Lepisosteus oculatus: one gene and its partners. The protein of the gene in region 3 purifies or fractionates together with the protein of the main gene of each other region. This does not show direct contact. Links are inferred from orthologs where the notes say so. Each region holds a gene or a part of one and is shown on either strand. Other genes may lie near its edges. The genes, in order: protein argonaute-3, ago4 and tnrc6ba.

What was found.
Region 1: the proteins of tnrc6ba (region 3) and protein argonaute-3 purify together in Homo sapiens (affinity purification with mass spectrometry; 6 studies listed by BioGRID and IntAct, with this or other methods). This does not show direct contact. The link is inferred for Lepisosteus oculatus from reciprocal best matches to the Homo sapiens genes TNRC6B and AGO3.
Region 2: the proteins of tnrc6ba (region 3) and ago4 purify together in Homo sapiens (co-immunoprecipitation; 3 studies listed by BioGRID and IntAct, with this or other methods). This does not show direct contact. The link is inferred for Lepisosteus oculatus from reciprocal best matches to the Homo sapiens genes TNRC6B and AGO4.

The regions. Positions count from the first base shown.
Region 1 is NC_090706.1:126,432-133,854, reverse strand, and holds the start of protein argonaute-3, read left to right. Parts: upstream 1-4,340; 5' UTR 4,341-4,941; coding exon 4,942-4,960; intron 4,961-7,423. Other genes in the region: ago1 (protein argonaute-1), read left to right, coding at 23-131.
Region 2 is NC_090706.1:162,809-170,553, forward strand, and holds the start of ago4 (protein argonaute-4), read right to left. Parts: upstream 3,099-7,745; 5' UTR 2,955-3,098; coding exon 2,936-2,954; intron 1-2,935. Other genes in the region: claspin, read left to right, coding at 4,699-4,722, 5,650-5,770, 5,989-6,350, 6,840-6,983, 7,232-7,288, 7,387-7,459.
Region 3 is NC_090707.1:38,380,349-38,387,501, reverse strand, and holds the start of tnrc6ba (trinucleotide repeat-containing gene 6B protein), read right to left. Parts: upstream 3,066-7,153; 5' UTR 2,908-3,065; intron 2,502-2,907; coding exon of another isoform or gene 2,292-2,501; intron 563-2,291; coding exon of another isoform or gene 385-562; exon of another isoform or gene 374-384; intron 1-373. Other genes in the region: probable endonuclease 4, read left to right, coding at 385-562, 2,292-2,501, 3,066-3,248, 4,907-5,038, 5,265-5,369, 6,169-6,298, 6,868-6,925.

The DNA of each region.
Region 1 (7,423 bases), on a different chromosome or scaffold from region 3:
AGGGTCTGCCTTTCTCTTGCAGTGGGGAGGGAAGCCACATCTCCGGCCAGAGTAACGGTCGGGACCCCCAGGCCCTGGCCAAAGCCGTGCAGGTTCACCAGGACACCCTACGGACCATGTACTTCGCCTGAGCCGCGCCCTCCCAGCACACCTCACGGACCTCACTGAGCCAGAGCGGCCCGAACCCAGGGCCGTCCTCCTGAAGCACAGACTGCTGCGAGCAGCTGGACGTGGCTCCGCACTCACCAGGAAACTGTTTCTAAGACTCCGGGATTTTATTTTTTTTATATATATTATATATAGAAGTATATATATTTACACTTCCGAGTATGTATGCAATACTGAGGAAAGGAGCTGAGGTCCTTGACTGCCCACACATGCTGCCTCTGTCTGTGGACTCGCCTCCCACAGACAGCCCGTAGAGTTAGATCTGCAACGTGTTGAGGAAGTTTTTTTTACTGAAAAAAACTTTCCTTATGTTTTTATCCTTTTGTTATTGTTTTAAAATGTTTATTTTTACCCAAGGTAAGGTACAATAGCACTTGCTTGTCTTAGGCCTGCTAGGCTGTGTGTTCGCAGGGAGAGGAGGGAGGGCCGTAGGTCAGCGTGCTGTCGATTGGAGAGTGCCTTACCACAGTGCTGGGACGAGGAGAAGCAGCTGCCCGTATGGACACACTGGTGCCAGGGCCCACCTGGGGTGCTGGGACTCCTGACTCTCCCTCTGATTTGCCTGTCCCTGCTGCTCCGGAGCAAACAAACCGGTCTGCACAGGAGGGAGAGGTCAGCAGAGACCTGGATGAGCTATGTGTGCTCGCTAGCTCTGTGGAGCTGTGGAGGAAAGCCCAATGTGAACTGAGCTGTGGGTTCAAGACCTCGCAGGGCCTGCATCTTCAGCAAGTCCATCATTTCATCTGTCCACGTTCACAGTCTCCTTCTCTGTCGTCACTCAGCTTTGTGCAGCGATTCACCAGCCGGGAGCACGGTGGCTGTGGGACTGTACACAGACGCAGGCCACGCGGCAGCGTCCTCTCGAGCAGCAGCTTGGCTTCTGAAGACAGCTGAGCAACACTTCTATGCATGTCCACAGGGCACACGGGTTACAACAACGCTGACGGCGCACACTCCTCTGTTCTTCCTCGCACGCTGGTCTCGCCTGTCGAGGGCTCTCTGCGTGCCCTGCCAGACCCCTGGCACAGCGACAGTCTCTCCTCTCCGCGGCAGCTCTATTGCGCCCCGCAGGGGGCAGAGAGAGCCAGGCTGTTGCTCTTGGCTGCAGCTGCCCCCTAGAGAGAGAGGGAGCATCGTCTGTTGTCCAGCAGCTGGAGGTGTGCTGCAGTGCACGATGTTGACCCAGGGCAGCTTGACTCATAATTACAGTGTTCTGGGCCCAGTATAGACCCTCAGACAAGGACTCGTGTTTTCCAAGCGGTTTTGACAAATTCCATCCCTGTTACTGGTCCCTGTGTCTCACTGAAGCCCCAGGTGCTTTTTTTTGTTCAGTAGCATCAATTACTATGTAAATAATGAAATATAGGACCCTGCCTGCCTATGTTTAGATTTAAAATATTGTCAAAACTTCTCAGAATGCACAGATGTGGTTCTTAGTCTGACGGCATAATTTGCTCAGTTTGAACATCGGTGAATAGCGACAGACGCCCTGCCTGCAGTATCACCTGGTCTCCTCCGGGGGAGCCCCTGACCTCTTACCCAGCTATGCAGAGATGCAGAGATGCACTGTGCACTCCTTCGCCCACAGCTTGGACATCTCTTTCGCTGCTCCCTCAGCTCGGGCCCCAGCTGCTCGGGGTCAGTGCGGGATGGGGGAGTGGCCGAAGGGGAGAGACGAGAGCCGTGTCGCAGACCGGTGCCAGGATGTGTGCGAGCGCAGAGTCCAGGCTGAATCAGCAATATGCCACTGCGGACTGTAGTCCAGATATAGCACTTCCGAACAGAACCGATAGGGAATATGGAAACTAGTTCTCATGGGTCAGTATTAAATAGTGTGAAATGTTCTGGTTATTTTTTGAATAAAATGTGTGTTTTTATTATGCTTGTGTTTGTATAATTTTTCTTTAGCATTATTTTTAGACACTTCAGCTTTTATTTTTTATGCATCCTGAAAGACTGTGATCACTTAGTTTAAAGGGAGTGATATCAGGCCTTTTCTGGGCCGTGAGTTCATCTGTGTTTGAACCCAAGGCCAAGGCTGTGGAGGGCCTCGTGCTGAAAAGCTCTATACGAGTGCAAGGTATTGTTTTTCATGTTTATTATTAACTGGCGCACACAGTAGCAGATGGGCACTGTCACTGTCCACCCACACGGGGTTTCTGCCAGGTAGCTCTGTGGTTGAGGGGCATTAGGGGCATCCCTCACTGGTGCAGACGCTGCCCTAGAGAGGGGAGAGGGTGAAAGCTCCAAAATTCCTGGGGCTTCTGATTGTGACGGCTGCTTCATTTCCAGATTAATACAATGTAGTTTTGGCTATAGTTTTCATTATTTTACACAGTTCTAACCTAAACAAAGCTGATAAAAATAACTTGTTGGTAATCGCTGTATTAACTGGCCGAACTGCTTCAGAATAGTGGACTATGAAGCACAGTGGTGGCAGGCGTGTCTCCTGTGGGCCAGGCGGACTCCTCCACACTGGTTTGCGTCTGAGCACTGGGTGTCCATTACCATGACTCTTGACTAGACAAGTAGCAAATGACCAAGTGCATTCTGAAACACCTTTTTATATACCTGCTTAATTATATGGACTAGTATAAAATTGTTTTAACATTGTTTTGACCTGAAGCTTGATGCCAGCGTGGTTGTCCCCTCTGGACACTCTCTATAGTTGAGTGTAGAAAAAGGGTCTTATGTTATTGCACCACCTATTGAAGGGGCAGTGTGGACACATCCATCAGGCCTGCTTGGAAAAGGAAAGAGTAAATCAAATAAACTGCGCAGGGCAGACCCAGGGTGCTGTCTGTGTGGAGTTTGCATGTTCTCACTGGGTACATGAGGGTTTCCTCCTACATTCCTGTGGGAGACATGGAAAACTGTCCCTGGTGTGTGTGTGTGTGTGTGTGTGTGTGTGTGTCCTGTGATGGGCTGGCCCTGGTGTGTGTGTGTCTGTGAGTGTCCTGTGATGGGCTGGCCCTGGTAAGTGTGTGTTACTGCCATGGGTGGACTGGTGTCCCATCCAGGGTGTGTCCTGCCCTGTGCCCAGTGCTTGCTGGGATAGACTGGCTCCCCTGCGACTCTGGTAAGAAGGATAAAGTAATACTTCTAATTGGAATAAATTATTAACAGAACAAATTTTCAAAAGGCAGGAAATCAATTCAAAATACCTATGCTATTAAAAGCATATTTAGGGATGATGATGAACTAAAACATGCACAATTTAGAATTCAAAGCCTGTTGATCTCAACTGGCACAACTACAGAAGGTCCTAGAGACGTTAATAAAGACACAGCGAAACAGATTCTAGCGGAGCTCTATCGGTTATTTGACTTTTTCCTGTGGCGCTGACAACATAAATGAATTGATTGTGGTAAAAAAAACAAGTCCCTGTGTCCTTGCAGTCGATCCAGGACAGTACAGTCATGAAAACAGGGGGTCTCAGCCAGGAGAGACAGTGCAGTAAAAACAGCACCAGAGCTGGCCGGTGGGCAGACACACTCCAGGGGCAGGAGCGGCCCCTCAGACCAGTGTCCAGGGGCAGGAGCAGCCCCTCAGACCAGCATCCAGGGGCAGGAGCGACCTCTCAGACCAGCGTCCAGGGGCAGGAGCAGCCCCTCAGACCAGCGTCCAGGGGCACGAGCAGCCCCTCAGACCAGTGTCCAGGGGCAGGAGCGGCCCCTCAGACCAGCGTCCAGGGGCAGGAGCGACCCTTCAGACCAGTGTCCAGGGGCAGGAGCGACCCCTCAGACCAGCATCCAGGGGCAGGAGCGACCCCTCAGACACACTCCAGGGGCAGGAGCGGCCCATCAGACCAGTGTCCAGGGGCAGGAGCGGCCCCTCAGACCAGTGTCCGGGGGCAGGAGCGACCCTTCAGACCAGCATCCAGGGGCAGGAGCGACCCCTCAGACCAGTGTCCAGGGGCAGGACCGACCCTTCAGACCGGTGTCCGGGGGCAGGAGCGACCCTTCAGACCGGTGTCCGGGGGCAGGAGGGGTTAACAGCGGCCCTGAGCTCAGCGGACGGCAGGCGAGCTCCCCCTGCAGGCTCCGGCAGGAACACCGTGTGGGGAGCCGGGGAACACGGGTGTGCATTATTAATACCTCTCATGAATAATGCAGACCTCGGCTCATGAATAATATGGTTTGCTCGGAAGTGACGGTGTTTCCTGCAGTTAGTGAGAGAGACGGTATTTCCTGTCAGGATTTCCCCGAGCGAGGATCACTGAGACCGGGCAGCGGACCAGCAGCACGTCGGGGAGCGACGCCTCGGTCTGCCGGGTGAGGAGCAGGGCTACTGCGGCCGCAGGGGCAGGGAAACACCGGCGGGGCAGCCGGGCTCTGTCGGCGGGGGTAGTGCGGACGCGGAGCCGGGAGAAACTGCGCCTTTCGGCTCAGACGCCGACGGAATATCGGGGAGACAATCGAGCCGCCCGTCGGGGACGTGAGAGAGGTAAATACCCCGAGGAGACCTCCTCCTGCCCGGCGGAGCCGCGGAGACCCAGCGGGACCCGAGGGCAGGGCCCCGGGCGAGCAGCGGCGCAGAGCCCGTCCACAGCGGCCGGCGCAGGGGTCCCCGGCCGCGAAGAAGCCGCCATCAGCGGACCGAGCCGCGGGGGAGCGGGCCCGTGTTCCGGGCGGAGAGTCTCCGCGGAGGACTCGGCCTCACCAGCGCGGATCGGGCCGGGCCGGACAGGACCGAGCGGAACCGAGCTGTTGGAGCTCAGACCCTGGACCTGACATTTAGGAGCCGGCGAGGAACCGGACAGAGACCTCATGAATGGAAATCGGAACTACAGGTAACTGTGCCACCGAGTGTAGGTAGGGCGCCGTGGGAGTGTGGCGTGGCTGCAGCGGAGCCGTGCTGACCTGCCCGCCCACTGTCACGGACAGGTGTCCCCTCAAGGTGTGCCTGAGCGGCGGGGCGGTGCGGTCCTGTTCTCTGTTTCTCGGGCTCCCGTCGGGGGGGGGGGAGTTTGGATCAGAACCGGGCTGAGCCGGGAGTGGGGTGTACTGTCTCTGGCTCAGGGCAGCGCTGGTTCTGTCAGGAGTGGAAGTGGAGTGTCCTGTCTGTGGCTCAGGGCAGCGCTGGGCTGTCAGGAGTGGGAGTGGGAGTGGGAGTGGGGTGTCCTGTCTGTGGCTCAGGGCAGCGCTGGGCTGTCAGGAGTGGGAGTGGGAGTGGGGTGTACTGTCTGTGGCTCAGGGCAGCGCTGGGCTGTCAGGAGTGGGAATGGGAGTGGGGTGTCCTGTCTGTGGCTCAGGGCAGCGCTGGGCTGTCAGGAGTGGGAATGGGAGTGGGGTGTTCTGTCTGTGGCTCAGGGCAGCGCTGGGCTGTCAGGAGTGGGAGTGGGAATGGGAGTGGGGTGTCCTGTCTGTGGCTCAGGGCAGCGCTGGGCTGTCGGGAGTGTGAGTGGGAGTGGGGTGTCCTGTCTGTGGCTCAGGGCAGCGCTGGGCTGTCAGGAGTGGGAGTGGGAGTGGGAATGGGAGTGGGGTGTCCTGTCTGTGGCTCAGGGCAGCGCTGGGCTGTCGGGAGTGGGAGTGGGGTGTCTTGTCTGTGGCTCAGGGCTCAGGGCCAGAGTGGGAGTGGGGTGTCCTGTCTGTGGCTCAGGGCAGCGCTGGGCTGTCAGGAGTGGGAGTGGGGTGTCCTGTCTGTGGCTCAGGGCTCAGGGCTCAGGGCAGAGTGGGATTGGGGTGTCCTGTCTGTGGCCCAGAGTCTGTGGCTCCTGCCATGAGTGGATGTGGCTGTTGCCTGCCGTGGTGTGGGAGCCTGTAGCTGGGGTGACTCCTGCTGGACTATAGGTCTGGGCCTCATCCTGAGATGCTCTTGAGCAGCTTGCTGTCCCATTGGGGACGGCGATCGCAGTCCCTGGAACCTCTCTCTGAGTCTGGGTGGTTCTGTCAGCTGTGCCTTGGCTCCAGTTTCGGTTGTCGGTTTGTTACATGAACGTGCAGGGAACCTCTCTCCTGGGTTGCTGTGGGCGTGAGGCCAGCAGTGGAGAGCTGTCACAGGGGTAAGCTGCTGTCGGAGAGGAGACTCTTGACTCTCTGCAGTCACACGGACTCAGGCTGTGGCTGAAGCGATTCGTCTGGTGGCCTGCTGGAGATCTTGGGGGGCTGGAGAGCTGGGCAGTGATCTCCTGGCCCAGTGTGGTGCCTGTTGAGTGGCTGGAGAGCAGGGCAGTGATCTCCTGGCCCAGTGTGGTGCCTGTTGAGGGGCTGGAGAGCTGGGCAGTGATCTCCTGGCCCAGTGTGGTGCCTGTTGTGGGGCTGGAGAGCTGGGCAGTGATCTCCTGGCCCAGTGTGGTGCCTGATGTGGGGCTGGAGAGCTGGGCAGTGATCTCCTGGCCCAGTGTGGTGCCTGTTGAGGGGCTGGAGAGCTGGGCAGTGATCTCCTGGCCCAGTGTGGTGCCTGTTGAGGGGCTGGAGAGCTGGGCAGTGATCTCCTGGCCCAGTGTGGTGCCTGTTGTGGGGCTGGAGAGCTGGGCAGTGATCTCCTGGCCCAGTGTGGTGCCTGTTGTGGGGCTGGAGAGCTGGGCAGTGATCTCCTGGCCCAGTGTGGTGCCTGTTGTGGGGCTGGAGAATCAGGTGCTGAGTCACTTGCCTTTCTGGGTGAGTCATTGCTGGGGCTGAGCTCAGTAACCAGTTGCTGTTGGATCACTCTGACAGGTCACTTTCTGTCCAACCAGCACTGCCTGTGGTTGTACCAACAGTAGTCTCAGGGCAGTGATGAGCCCAGATGCAGCAGGGTGAGAATAATGGTGCGTAGTCTCTAGTCATTAGTATAGAAAGATTTAAGCTGTACAAGAAATGCTTGAGTTGCCATTAAGGGTAGCAGTAATTGTAACCTCATGCAGGATAGTAGCTTGCTTCTAGCCTGTGCAGGTTTGACTCAGTCCTGTCCTCTGACGTGGTGCTGTTTCTCTGAACCTGTCCCTGTCCTACTCTTCGATCACAGCCCTTGTCCACACACTCTGACCTGCAGGCACCTGGACACGGCTGTCCAGCACACTGACCCTCATGAGGGAATATGCCCTCTGGCCCCCGGTTACTCTGCAGTGGTGAGGATTGCCAGAGCTGTCCTGACACTGCCTCACAGCTCTGTGCTGGTTGGTTCAGTGAAACGTTTTTGTATCTGACTGGAACTTTTGTTTTTATATTTGTGGTTGGCTGGTGATCTTAATATTTGCTGAAGTGAAACGCTCAGCAGCTTCCTGGGCTGGTGTGTGTACCAGAGAGTTTCTGGAATGGTTAGCGCTGTGAAT
Region 2 (7,745 bases), on a different chromosome or scaffold from region 3:
CTGTTTGCACAAAGACTCCAGACTAAGATCACTTGAAACGTTACAAACAAGAGGAGGCCATTCCACCCATCTAGAAGAGAGGAAACAGGTCAGCGTCTTCGTTCGAAAAGGGGTCCAATGGGCAGTTTGCCCAAAGTAGAAAAAAATCAGTTCTTTACCCTTAACTAAGGCAGACGAACACCGGAAGAAGCCACATTGCTAACCTGCGGTCCTGGTCTTACTGTAACAATCTACAGGTCAAAGGCCACCTGGCCTGATACTCTGGGCCCCAGCTGCCCTGAATGATCCAGGGTCTGGTTTCCCTGAACGGACGGGCAGAGAGGCAGCTCCTCTGCCTCCTGGCTCTTCCACACTTTCACCTCTCTTACAGCAGCATCTCCCTGCTCTCGGGTGGTAGTTGAGCAGCGCTTTGTCATTTACAATGCTGGTGTATAATCTACAGAAGGTTACAGTACAGAAAACTCTAGACGTGATAACATTCAAATGATAATTCTGTGGAAGCAGGACTCAAACTGGGCCAAACGTATTCCCATCCCCTATTATCCAACTCAATACTTGGCCAGTTTGATGTGCAAATCAAGAGGTGGAAGAATCAATCAAGAACAGAACAGCCAGCAAAGCAGCACAGAAGCAAGACACTTCAGACTGTGTTCATGAAGGGTTAGAACACTTCATCCTTAACTTTCAAAAGCATTCTATTCATAAATACAGCACCAACCTAATGTTATCACAGCTCATGAGTGAAAAACATCATTTATGGATTTTTAACAACATATCCATCAAAGCACGTGAATGTACCTGTGTGAAGGTACTGGTGGGAACAGGTGTTTTGCACTGAGGAGTCAATGTCTTGGCAGTGATCAGTCAATAATCAGACTGGAAAGAGGGGTTTAAGAACACCTGCAAGGCAGATGGGATTAATGACGAATTTGCGACAGGACAGAGGCCCTGCCTGCCACAAGGAAAAGACAACACCGAGAGTGAAAGAGCTGCAGGATGTCTGAGGATATCAAGAGCTCAGCAGCAACACCGCACAGGTCATAGAATAAGGCTACACAGAGCAGCCTAGCCCTGTCCTATGAACCTGTAAATCAAGGCATGTCCAGGCGGGTCAGAGAGCTCCCTGCGGATCCGTGGGGATCTACAGCCCTGGCTGGACTCGCTCTGTCCACCGGTGCGCTCCCTGTGGATCCTGGGATTCTGTCCTGGGTCTCCGCTCTCCTCTCTACACTCATTCCCCAGGTCCTCACCTCCTGTCATGGTCTTTCACACTCAACGCGAAGGACGCAGAGTTTCTCATGTTCACTATTTATATGCCTTTCACCTCCTCCTGGACTCGATGCTCTTCTTCCAGCAGACCCCATGCATCTCTTCTCTACCAGATCCCAGGCGCCAGCCTCCCTTTCCCCTCAGCCCCTCATCACCTTTGCATGAGGTGCCCTCCCTTCAGCAAGAGTTAAGCCAAAATCTACATGGGTCCCGAGGCTGTCTGTAAGGGTGTTAATCCCAAACTGGGCTCAGACAACCTAACCTCCCCACTGGTTCCCAGTTTCTCTCTGCCCCTGCTCTGCTGCGTAAGGGGGCTGCTGCTGTTCTGTGTCTACAGGGCGATGCAGCACCCCAGCTCTCCAAGACCCATTGTGATGATGCATGCTATACAGACATGGGGACTGAACTACAAGGGCTTAATTCTCAAAATAGTAATGCAACGTACCAACTGCATTTAATCACTGCAGACAAGCTGTAAGCACCCAGTAGGTGCATAAGTTACCACCCTGCATCCCCAGAGCCTGTGCAGTTTCACCCCTACGGCTGCCTTCGCCCGTCAGGAGAGGAGCAGACTGGACACGCAGCTGCACGACTGTTCCTCGTATTAACAAGTAAACTTTCCAGTTTGCCATTCACACTGAATGAAGGGGTCTGCTATATACAGGAATAATAATAATACTTCCATTGCCTGGCCCAGGAAAGAATCTTTACTCCAGAAGACAAGGGGTTACTAGTCCACAGATAGTGCCCTTCTTATGAATTACAAGCAAATCCTGAAAAAACACCGACTGTACACATTTGCAGGACACCAGAATCCCAGCCACTGCCCTTTTATGTACCACAATTCCCATGTGGGAAGCATTTTTTACCCCGGATAACTTATTTTAAAAGGTACAATAGCTTTGAGTTAAACAACAATTTAAAACACTTAAGCTATTAAATCACTTTCGTACTTATTGATACATATATTAGGTAAACTACTTTTAAAATTCTTCCTAACATTATCGGGGATTTCTACATACATCAATAAGAGGATTATTCCACGCAGAGGCACATAAACCGCACTTTCCCGTAGTTTAAACCCCACTCGGGCTTCGGTGAGGCTGCACATCCCGATACAGACACCGCAAAGACGCCGTAAACGTGCTGGTCAGCGAGCAGAGAGACCGGACTGTGCCACCGCTCCGGCCGGCAGCGAGCGACAGACACCCGACAGCTGGATCACGCAGAGCTCCGGGACAGCTGCAAGCACAGGGACCGAGGCTCCGGGCTCCACCGTGGTGGACGAAACCAGACGGACAGAGAAGCTGAAATCCGCTCTCGCAAACCGACACGAAGCTCCGCCGCCTTCGCTCTCGGACCCGCCGCAGCCCGCAGGCTGAGCACGACAACAACAACAGACGCGGAAGACGCGGAAAGGCGCTCCTGACGTTTCGCTCCAAGCGCGACCCGGGGCTGCGGCACACGGCCACACCGGACACCAGCCCTCCGTGAGGGACAGAGCCCTGCAGGCAACACCCCGTGCCGTGTGGTTAACCTCCCGACCTCGCTCTTCCTTCCGTCTTCCCGATCGCCCGCGGAGGCCTCGCAATCCCCGGCCCCCAGTGAGCGAGCGACCCGGGCCCCCCGCTCCTGCCCTGCCGGGCCTGCCAGCGCCTCTTCTCACCGGGTCCGAGCGCTTCCATGGCCGAGGGCTCTCTCTCCGTCTCTGTCCCGGCCTGGCGGCTCCGTACCGACACTGAGATTGGGGGCGGTATCGCGAAGCTGAGAGGGTCCACTCTGAGAAACTGAGGTCCGCTGTCGCCGCTCGGTTTAAAGCGGATCCGGGGAGTGCGGCAGTGCGCCTGCGCGCCGAGCGCTGCCCCTGCTGTGCGCCTGCGCCGTCCGGGGATTTAAACTGAGCGCACGGAGACGGGCAGCACAGGCGGCTGTGGACTCCCGGGGGTTTGGTTATCGACATCTATTTGGGCAGCATAGTACATGGAGAATTCGTCTCCCGTTGGATGAGGCTTTGGTTAGCCTGTCAGCGGTTTACCCGCGGTTTTTATAAATAATTCTACCAGGGAGGAAGCAGGAAGTTATCATACCGGCCGCTAGAGGGGGCAGCGCAGTTAATTGAAAGGTCTGACATCTCCGTAAACTGGCAGCATTTCAGCTCCGTTTTTACCAACGCCGTTGAAAAGCCTTGTCCCGCGCTCACAGTATCTCTTGTGCGGAGCTCTGTCAGAGCCTGGGCTGCTCAGCGTGCTGGGGTCCGGGGAGTCACAGAGGAGAAAACGCGTTTATATCGACATGCATCTGGGGAGCACAGGGAGAAAACGGAGTGTATCATGCTACAGCTTATACTTTTCATTCAGGTTCCAAAATGTGTGGGTGTCTGTGAAATCGTCACATTCGTCAGTGATCTGTATTGTTTTACTCCTGTTAACGTGGCTGTTTGCTCTGCTCTGCAACAGCCGTCCTGTAGCTGCAGCCCTGTCCCACAGCAGCTCAGGTAAAACCAGCAGGTTTATAAAGTATAATTTGCACTTCTTATTTATTTAATCCTCATTGTAATGTACAAATTAAGGGCGTCTGCCAGAAAAGATTTTTAAATTAAATTGAAAAAATATGACATGCTTTTTATTCTTATAAATTACTTTAAAACCACCGTATTGTCACGCAGTCGGTGGTCATTTAGTACAAATAGTTAAAAGTTTCAGCGCTGTTTACATTTTAATGAGGTTCAGTTTCAGGGCAACGTTGAAATCCTGTTTTGTCTCAGAGTATCCGGAATCAAAGGGGCTGAGTATTGTTTTAACAAAACTGCAATAAATATTGTGAGCTACCGTTAAGCTTACCCAATACAAAGTGAGGGGGGGGATAAAATTCACATCTATATTTTTATTTAAAATAAGGTGATTGCTTATTTTTGCTTTATTTTAGAAAGAGAATATTTTTATTTAATTCACAGTTCTTTAGCATTACTGTATTTGTGATTCCAAGAAAAACTACACAAAACCAAGCTTTCCAATCAGACCCCCGAGTGCACTGCGACTCGCTATTGGTCCCTGCTGCTGTCCGTCACTTGCGTGAGGCGTGGCTGGGAGCGTCGGCAGCCCCCGAGGTGGAATAAGTCTGCCGAGGTGGGCGGGTGCGAGGCGGGATTGACGGCCGACAGCCCAGTCAGGAGGGAGAGGAGGGGGCGAGGGGCGGGATGGCGCCCTGGGCGCGCGAGCGGTTGAAAGTCCTTTCTGAGAGAGCGCGCGGGAGGGAGAAGCAGGCGGGCAGCTACGAGTTGTTACTGTTGCGGATTAGATCTCATCTGTTTATCTGGTTTATTTTAACTGTTTAAATAGTTTGTCAAGGAGGGCGAGAAAGTGGACGTGGCCTTGCGTGCGTTTTCATGAGTCTGTGTTGTCGAGTGTAAGCGGAAAAGAGCCCGTCGCCATGAGTGCGGCCGTGTCCCAGCAGGTTTGTGCTGTTTTAGTCACGGTGGCGAAGTGTTCGTAAAGACCCGCGGTTCGTGCTCTGGGGGGGCTGTGTGCTGCTGTGCGGCTGTCCGGCCTCCGAGAGGGCTGGGTCCGGGCGGGCTGGACGGGCCGCAGCAGCACCGCCAGCGGAACCGAGCCGTCTGACCCGGGGTGTGTTCTCCGGGCCTCGGGAGGAAAGTCTGCGGTTTGTTTTGGTTGCTGAGCTTTTCGTGGCAGCGGCTCTCTGCCGCCTCGGCTGGCTCCCGGCCCGGCCGCTGGGGGGCGCGCTGCTCCGCTCTCGCGGTCCGGTGGTTCAACGTGCGAGCGGGGTTCATAGCGGGGGCTCCTGCTTCGCCACTCGGCCTGTGTCTCGGCTGGTGCGCTGCCGTTTCAGTCCGGGGTCTGCCAGGGCGGTCAGACTGTACAGGGCCCGACGCGAGTTTCTTCCGAGCAGTCGGGACCTCGGGTCTGATCATGGGCCCAGTCGCTGGGTGTTGTTAGCCCACCGAGCTGTTGCTGCAGATATGAGCTGCTCCTTCTCTGGAGTGTCGCACTGCCGGCTGGAGGCACTGTCCTCCACTCGCAGAGCTCAGAGCAGACCCCCAGGGCGGTTTCCATGGGATCACAGGGGCAGTAAGCCCATCGGCCAGATGGGAGGAATGGCTGTGCTCGATTATAACCTTTCTTGTGTAGCCGAACTCGGCTGTGTCACCGCCAGCCGGTCAGTGTTCAGGTTTCTCCAGCTGTGCGGTGTTGTAACTGTAAGCCATCCTGTTGATGTATTGCAGTGAAGTCAATCTGCAGTAAATCATGTCTAACTATAGCGATGCTCGATACAGATGCTACCCCACGTCCTCGGGACCCGTCTGTGGTGACGCTGCGCTGTGCCGTCGTGCCCGTAGGTAACGGCCACCCGTTTTCTCTCCAGGCGCCGGACGTGCTTCCCGTGGAGGAGAGCGACTCCGACAGCGGAAAGGGCAGCTGCGACCTGAGCCCCCCTGTGCCCACGGGGGGCGCCCCAGCGATGGCTGAGAGCAGCGAGGACCAAGGTCAGCGGGGCCGGGGGTATAACGCCACAGAGCTCTGAGGGCTCTGCAGTGGGGTCACTCTGAACCTCCTGAGGCTCTGCCTGCTCCGCAGGGGGGATTTGTACAGTTACCCTGTGTCTCATAACTGAGCAGTTTGACGATGGTCCGGACCGTTCGGAAGCGAGTGTCTCGTGTGCGTCGCCTCGGAAGGTCCGTGTCAAAGACGTCTTGTGTTCCAGACTCGGACGGCGAGGTGGCTGTGAAGAGGAAGCCGCGCGGCAGGACGGCCCTGAGCGACAGCGACAGCGAGGCCGAGGAGGGAGGGGGGCCGGCCGAGGCTCTTGCCCTGTCGGAGTCCAGCGAGGAGGAGAGGCAGGAGGGAGGAGGCGGGAGGACAGGACAGCGGACGAGGAGGGTGGCGCAGGCCGCCTGGGACAGTGAGGACAGCGAGGCGGAGACGGACAGGCAGGCCGGCAAGGCACAGGGAGAGTCCCCTGCTGGGGAGACGGTGAAGCGGGAGGAGAGGTCCGAGCATTGCCGGGAGAAGGACAAGAGGAGGGCAGAGGCTGCGCCGAGAGCGAAGAGGAACAGGAGGAAAGAGGTACGTACAGGGCGCAGCTGGGAAGATGCAGCCCTGGGCCTGGAAGGGCGGCGAGCACAGGTGTGCCTGCGTCAGACAGGTAGTGCTCCAGCCAGCTTTGTCCTGCTTGCCCGGTTGGCTGTCAGTGCTGTGTCAGGGGAGAGCTGCTCAGCAGACTTCATAGTTAACAAAAATATTGAATGTCTTTGGCTGTTCTGCAGTCTTAATTTATCCTGGTCCACAGAAACATTTTAAATACACTGCATGTTCTTAAATTGTCTAGTCACTGATTGTTGGACAGGTTTTTATGTTAACTTTTTGTGCTTATTTTAAAATACTTCTGAATGAGTGTCATGTGATGTGTAAGCTTATATCGGTTCTGTGACTGCACAGTTTGAATGTGGATTTAACTGGATGGGGCATCAGTGAGGTTTGGGTGGGGTGTGTGGCTGATTCGCTAAACAAGGCCAACATTAGGACAGCAACCACTTCACTCTCTCCCTAATCTAGGAGCCCACTGCTCCCCCCTCCTTTAATGACAGTGGCTGCCTCCTCAGAGACAGTGACCTGTTTGACACAGGTGTGGGGGAGGAAGAGGAGGAGTCCCTGGATGCCATCAGAGCAGCGATGAAAAACAAGGTGAAGAAGCATAAGGTGAGCAGAGGTCATGACATGGCGACTGCAGGACTCTTGTCTGCACTGCTGTGTTGGGGGAAATGAGGAGTTAAACCTCTTTTCACTTCTGCACGTTTGACTTTAGTCACAGAGTCCTTTAGTGCTGGCAAAAGTGTCTAATGCTCTTCTGTAAAGCAGGGTCCAGCATTTTATTGTCCAAGCGGGTCTCGAGCACTTTGTCTCGGCAGATTGAGGTTTGTGTACAGACGTGTTTTTCCTGTCCCCAGGAGAGAGCCGGGAGGGAAAAGGAGGAGGCTGAGGGGGTGTGTCAACCAGAGCGGAAGGTGAGGTGACCTTTGAACTTTGCGTTCTTGTTGTAGAACGCTGCTTCTGTTGCTCGGTGTCTGATTCCTGTGCGTTTCTGTCCTCTCCTCTCTGTCAGGAGAGGAAAGCAGCCCGGGCCAGCAAAGAGGCCATGAAACAGCTGCACAGCGAAAGCCAGAGACTCGTACGAGGTAAGAGCCTGTCTCTCCCTGTTGCTGACTGTCTAGCAGTGCTTCTTCACCTGGGGTGCAGCCGTCCCTCCTGGGGGTGTGAGATGTGCCAGATATTTTAAATCAAGAAACCAAATTAAGCACAGACACAAAAGTATAATAACTTTGTTTAATCAGTCCTAGGTATTTTAATGTAAACAGGAAAAGGTCAATGCCAGGCTGAAAGGAAAAGAAGAGATGCAATGTTTTGGCTATGGAGCCTTCAGGTGTGGACATCTGTGACACCTGAAGAAGTGTCCACAGCCAA
Region 3 (7,153 bases):
CTGTCTGTCCCCATGGGAGCAAGCAGACGACGGGACGGCAGGGCTGTGTGCTGTCACTCTGAGCGGATTCCAAACCCGAGCTCTCCCAAGTTTGTGCAACGCCACGGGCCGCTTGCACACACCCGAGCAGCGCCGCGATAAATCGCAAAGCATGCCTGAAAGAAATGCCGGTGCTGCGTCAGACAGCATGCGGGACTCCAGCAGAAAAACACACCGAGTGCCGTTAGAGCACGGCTCCGTCTCTGGGCGCGCAGGTGTCTGCTGGGGCCGATGAGCACAAGCTGAGTTTTCAGAGGTGGTCCTGGGGGGGGCGGTGTCTTGTCTGTCTGTCAGTCCGTGCAGGGGGTGAGCCGGCTGTCTCCTCGCCCCGCAGGGCTGGCGGCGATGGGGCCGAGGAAGCGGAGGACGGAGCCGGAGACGGCGGCGGTGGAGACGAGCGCGCAGGCTGGAGGGGAGGGCCGGCGCTCGCAGCCCCCGGGGCAGGAGGGGGCGAAGAAGAGGGTGGCGCGAGCGCAGGGAGGAAGGGAGAAGAAGTTTATCGGGGCGCACGTGTCCATAGCAGGTATCCCGGCACGCACCGTGGACAATACACCCACCTGTAACACGCAGGACGGAGCAGTTGATGACCTTGCTAACACACCCACGGATGTGAATTCACCCTGTGGGTCGTGTGCTTGTTTCGTAGGGGCGGGCATCTGTGACTGTGTCGCCCTGCGGCTAATGCGAAATCAACGTGTTTTTTCCACATTCTGTCGCGTGGACACTGTTCCCTGTCCCTGTATCTCCAGGAAAGCAGCAGAGAAGCGGCGATCTGCCTGCAGCTGTTGCCTTGTCTGCACATCTGTCAGCATGTCCGCACGCCGTCTTTAAAACCGCCTTTTAGTTATTTTTATTAGTGTTTTGTTTATCGAAGAGCATAAGAAAGGCTTCAAACGAAAGGAGGGCAAGTGCTCTCTCGAGCTGTTCTGGGAAAGTCTCTAGGACGTGTGAGTACACCTGTCTCGGGTGTCTTTGCTGTTGTCCTGCTCTGGTTTTGCAAAGCCCTCTGGGACATTGTCATGTAAGCTGCCCCAGCAGTTACAGATCATTACTAAAGCTCCCAAAATGAACACAGCTGCACAGCTGGGGCAAACTCCACCTGCCCCCACAGGCTCTGCCCTTATGGGCAGATCTGAGCAGAGGGTGGTCTCGGTCAACAGTGATGAGCTGACCAACCAGTCTGCTGGCAGTCTGAGACTGAGGCCGTCCAGTGAGTCCAGCAGACTGGACCCCAGTTCTCTGTGTCCTGGTCCTGGAGGAACACTGCTGGTGCTCATTCCAGCATGAACTGGGGTACGAACTGATCTGCTGGCTTGTTAGGACTTGAATTCAGCTTGTTTCTTTGGTCAGTCCTGAATGCCCAAATGCCCACATTCAAGCTCACTGTTTGCAGCTGACTGTGCACGGAGTGTCACTCAGTTGTTCCTGAATTTGCTGGCTCTTATTTCCGGTTAAAGAGCTCCTGCTAGTTAATCAGATATGGCTGGGAATGAGACTATATTAGGGCACACCCTCAACGGGAGGGGCATTGCATTAGACACGCCCATAGTAGGAGTGGCACTGTCAGCCATGCCCACAGGTGTGGGGAGACTCGCATGTCCCTACATCCATAGCAACATTATATCAGACACGCCCAGGGGTGGGAGAGACAGGACACTTCTCAGACGCGCCCACGGGTGGGAGAGACAGGACACTTCTCAGACACGCCCAGGGGTGGGAGAGACAGGACACTTCTCAGACACGCCCACGGGTGGGAGAGACAAGACACCTCTCAGACACGCCCACGGGTGGGAGAGACAAGACACTTCTCAGACGCGCACAGGGGTGGGAGAGACGACACGTCTCAGACACGCCCATGGGTGGGAGAGATAGGACATGTCTCAGACACACCCACGGGTGGGAGAGACAGGACACTTCTCAGACACACCCACGGGTGGGAGAGACAGGACACGTCTCAGACACACCCACGGGTGGGAGAGATAGGACATGTCTCGGACATGTCTCAGACACGCCCACAGGTGGGAGAGACAAGACACCTCTCAGACACGCCCACGGGTGGGAGAGACAGGACACGTCTCAGACACACCCACGGGTGGGAGAGACAGGACACTTCTCAGGCGCGCCCGGGATATTTCCAGGATCTTGGACGGATTCCTCAGGCCTCTGTGGACAGGGGTGACACCTGGCGGGCTCTTGGGGGTGAGCAGGTCTCAGCCCACAAGCGTTGCCTCTCGCCCTCTCGCCCTGTGCAGGGGGCATCTGGAAGGCGGTGGAGGAGTGTGTGTCCTTGGGGGGGCGCTCTTTCGCCATGTTCCTGGGCTCCCAGCGCTCGTGGCAGCGCCCCCCCCTGGACGAGAAGGCGGCGGCCAGGTTCCGGGAGGCCTGCCGCGAACACGGGGTCGAGCCCGCCTTCATTCTGCCTCACGGCTCCTACCTGATGAACTGTGGCTCGCCCAAGCAAGGTGCGTGAGCAGTGCCCCCATTCCAACTCTACTGGTGTGTCTCTCTGTCCAGATCTGTGACCTGTCTCTCTCTCTGTCCAGCTGTGTGTGAGATCTGTGACCTGTCTCTCTCTGTCCAGATGTGTGTGAGATCTGTGACCTGTCTCTCTGTCCAGCTGTATGTGAAGAGCTGTGACCTGTCTCTCAATTCAATTCAATTCAATTCAAGGTGCTTTATTAGCATGACCGATAGGTACAATCAGTGTTGCCAAAGCAAATAAAAATAATAAAATTAACATAGAACAAAACAAAAAATAGAAGTAAAATAAAATCTACAGACATGTTACAGACATTTACAACAAAGACATATTATATAATATTGACATATACTGTAGGCGGCTGGAGCATTATTGGGAGACGGACTCACTGTTCCTCAGGCTGTGACAGGAGATCACATACTGGGCTGCCAGATCAAAAAGATCTCTCTCTCTCTGTCCAGATGTGTGTGAAGAGCTGTGACCTGTCTCTCTCTCTGTCCAGCTGTGTGTGAAGAGCTGTGACCTGTCTCTCTCTCTCTCTGTCCAGATGTGTGTGATAAGAGCAGGGTCCTGCTGGTGGACGAGCTGTCGCGCTGTGCTCAGCTGGGCCTCTCCATGTTTAACCTGCACCCCGGGGCGTCCCTGGGTGACATCACCACTGACCAGTGCATCCAGCGCATCGCCGAGGCGATAGACCACGCCCACCGCCAGGTGCCTGCTGTCATGACGGGTGAGCTGGGCCTGCAGACCCTTCACACACACTGACCGGTGCACACAGACACACCCTCACACACACTGACCGGTGCACACAGACACACCCTCACACACACTGACCGGTGCACACAGACACACCCTCACACACACACTGACCGGTGCACACAGACACACCCTCACACACACTGACCGGTGCACACAGACACACCCTCACACACACTGACCGGTGCACACAGACACACCCTCACACACACACTGACCGGTGCACAGACACACCCTCACACACACACTGACCGGTGCACACAGACACACCCTCACACACACTGACCGGTGCACACAGACACACCCTCACACACACACTGACCGGTGCACAGACACACCCTCACACACACACTGACTGGTGCGCAGACACACCCTCACACACACACTGACTGGTGCGCAGACACACCCTCACACACACACTGACCGGTGCACACAGACACACCCTCACACACACTGACCGGTGCACACAGACACACCCTCACACACACACTGACCGGTGCACAGACACACCCTCACACACACACTGACCGGTGCACACAGACACACCCTCACACACACTGACCGGTGCACACAGACACACCCTCACACACACACTGACCGGTGCACAGACACACCCTCACACACACACTGACTGGTGCGCAGACACACCCTCACACACACACTGACTGGTGCGCAGACACACCCTCACACACACACTGACCGGTGCACACAGACACACCCTCACACACACTGACCGGTGCACAGACTCTCCCTCACACACACTGACCGGTGCACAGACTCTCCCTCACACACACACTGACCGGTGCACAGACACACCCTCACACACACACTGACTGGTGCGCAGACACACCCTCACACACACACTGACCGGTGCACACAGACACACCCTCACACACACACTGACCGGTGCACACAGACACACCCTCACACACACACTGACTGGTGCACACAGACACACCCTCGCACACACACTGACTGGTGCACACAGACACACCCTCGCACACACACTGACCGGTGCACACAGACACACCCTCACACACACTGACCGGTGCACAGACTCTCCCTCACACACACTGACCGGTGCACAGACTCTCCCTCACACACACACTGACCGGTGCACAGACACACCCTCACACACACACTGACTGGTGCGCAGACACACCCTCACACACACACTGACCGGTGCACACAGACACACCCTCACACACACACTGACCGGTGCACACAGACACACCCTCACACACACACTGACTGGTGCACACAGACACACCCTCGCACACACACTGACTGGTGCACACAGACACACCCTCGCACACACACTGACTGGTCCACAGACTGACCCTCACACACACACTGACTGGTGCACAGAAACACCCTCACACACACACTGACTGGTGCGCAGACACACCCTCACACACACACTGACTGCTGCACACAGATACCCTCACACACACACTGACTGGTCCGCAGACACACCCTCACACACACACACACACACACACACACTGACCAGTACACACAGACTCTCCCTCACACACACACTGACCGGTGCACACAGAGACAGCCTCACACACACACTGACAATGCCAGGGCCAGCGAGGCCTGATCTCTCCCGGCTCTGTGCCTCCGCAGTGCTGGAGAACATGAGTGGGCAGGGCAGCACGGTGGGCGGCCAGTTCTCCGAGCTGCGCGGGATCATCGAGCGGGTTCGGGACAAGAGCAGAGTGGGGGTGTGTCTGGACACCTGCCACGCCTTCGCCGCGGGTGAGGGGGCCTGACGGGGCCGATCCCTTCCCTTGCTCTGTGCCTCGCCACCCTCTCCCTCCCCTTCATTTCCCACAATTCCTCTAGCCGGGACCCACGCTGTCTGCACTTCCTCTCTCTGTGCCTTTGAGTCTCAGAGCGTCTGAACTCATCTTCTCTCCATCCCACACCCCTCTCCCTCCCTCCCTCCCTCTCTCTCTGCCCCTCTCTCTCTCTCTGTCTCCAGGCTATGACATTTCTGCGGCCGGAGGGATAAAGAAGGTTCTGGATGAGTTTGACTCTGTGGTGGGGCTGTCGTATCTCAGAGCTCTTCACCTCAACGACTCCAAAGGTGAGTCTCGTGTCCCCGTCTGTCCCTGTCTCTGCGTGCGCACGGCTCTCTCGTCCCCGAGACCGGCTCTGGCCCTCCAGGGCCACAGCCCAGTGGGACTCCGGGGGCTCCAGACTATCCCAGCCTGGGAACGCGTAATGTTCTGGGGTGTGACTGTGGAAAGAGTTCATGTTAACGCCAGACCTGAATTGAGCCCTTCTCTGCACCTTAAACCAAGGGCCCAGAAATCTGCTTGTCCGTGGCCCTCAGGGTCCCGAACTGGGGTGATCTCACGCTCCACCCCCCCTGCCCCTTGACCTCCAAGGTGAGCGTGAGGTTTGACTGGGGAGCTGGGAGGTCACTCCTTTGGCTCCCTGCATTTCAACTGCTTGCCACTAGGGGGCACTGAAGCTCTATCCTGCAAAAGTTCACTGTAGTTATTGGAGGTCAGCAAGGTAATGCAATGGTTAGCGTTGCTTCCTCACAGTGCTGGGGCCCTGGGTTCAATTCCTGGGGTGCTGTCTGGGTGGAGTTTGTATGTTCTCTTTGTGTTTGCTCCTCTTTCTTCCCACAGTCCACAAAAGCCAGGCTGGTAGGTTAACTGGCCCTGGTCTGTGTCTGTGTGTGCCCTGATGGACTGGCGTCCTGTCCAGGATGTACCCCGTTCTGCGCCTGGTGCTTGCTGGGATAGGCTCCAGCTCCTCTGTGAAAGTGGCCTCTAGTGGTAGGGAGTGGAAATGCAGGGCAACTGGAGCTCAAACAAGTCACCGCATCGCGCCCCAAATCTGTGTCCCCCCCCCTCCCTCTGCTGGCGTTCCAGGAAAGCTGGGGTGTCATCTGGACCGCCACGAGGACATTGGGCGCGGCCAGATCGGCCTGGCAGCGTTCCGAGAGCTGGTCAACGAGCCGCGCCTGGACGGCATCCCCATGATCCTCGAGACGCCGGGCCGGTGAGTGTGGCGCGGGCGGCAGGGAGACGTTTTTTCCCCGGCGTTCCCAGTCCGGTCCTGGTGACCCCCACTGCTGCTGGATCCCACACCCTCCCGCCTTCCTGGGGCGACTGGCGCCTTGACTGATCTAACAAGTTCCTTGCCATTCATACCTCTAACTCTGTCTCCCATCTGATCAGTGTCCTGGTGCTCATGGACAGCCCCCAGTTTCCTGGGACAAGAGCTGGCCTGTGTGTTAATCACCATCCTATTCTTACCACAGCTAACATGTCTGTTACCACCGGTAACGCAGAGTTCAGTTCTAAACGTGTACCTGTGAGATGGAGACGCCGCAGTCAGGGGTGACCAGCAGACCACTGGGACCCGCAGGCCAGCAGGTTTTACGATGCCCGTTTTGATCAATTTAGCGATGTTTTTTTATTTGACGTCAGGAAGGGTCAGGTGTGGCTCATGAGGGCTGCAGGGGACTGTGACATGATCTCTAAACTGGACCCTACTCTGGAAGGTTGTGGGTTCGAATCCCAGGTGAGATACTGCTCCAGTAAGTTTCTCTTTGCTGCCCTCCACAGCACAGGGTTCGAGTACGCGGAGCAGATTGAGCTGCTGTACTCCCTCTGCGAGGACTAGGGGTCAGAGGTCAGAGGTCACACCGCGATGTTCTCAGCGTTCCTTCCCCCCGGACTGGGCAAGGTCACTGCCTGTCCTGGGTTTTGTATTTTTCTACGTTTTTGTTTTTGACTGTGTCTTTTTTTCCCCGGAAATGTTGTCAAATTAAAAATATTACCAATAAAGTTCCAGATGAACGTGAAAGCTCTCGCTTCTGGTCTTGGGCATGTGTGCAGATGTGTGGGGAAG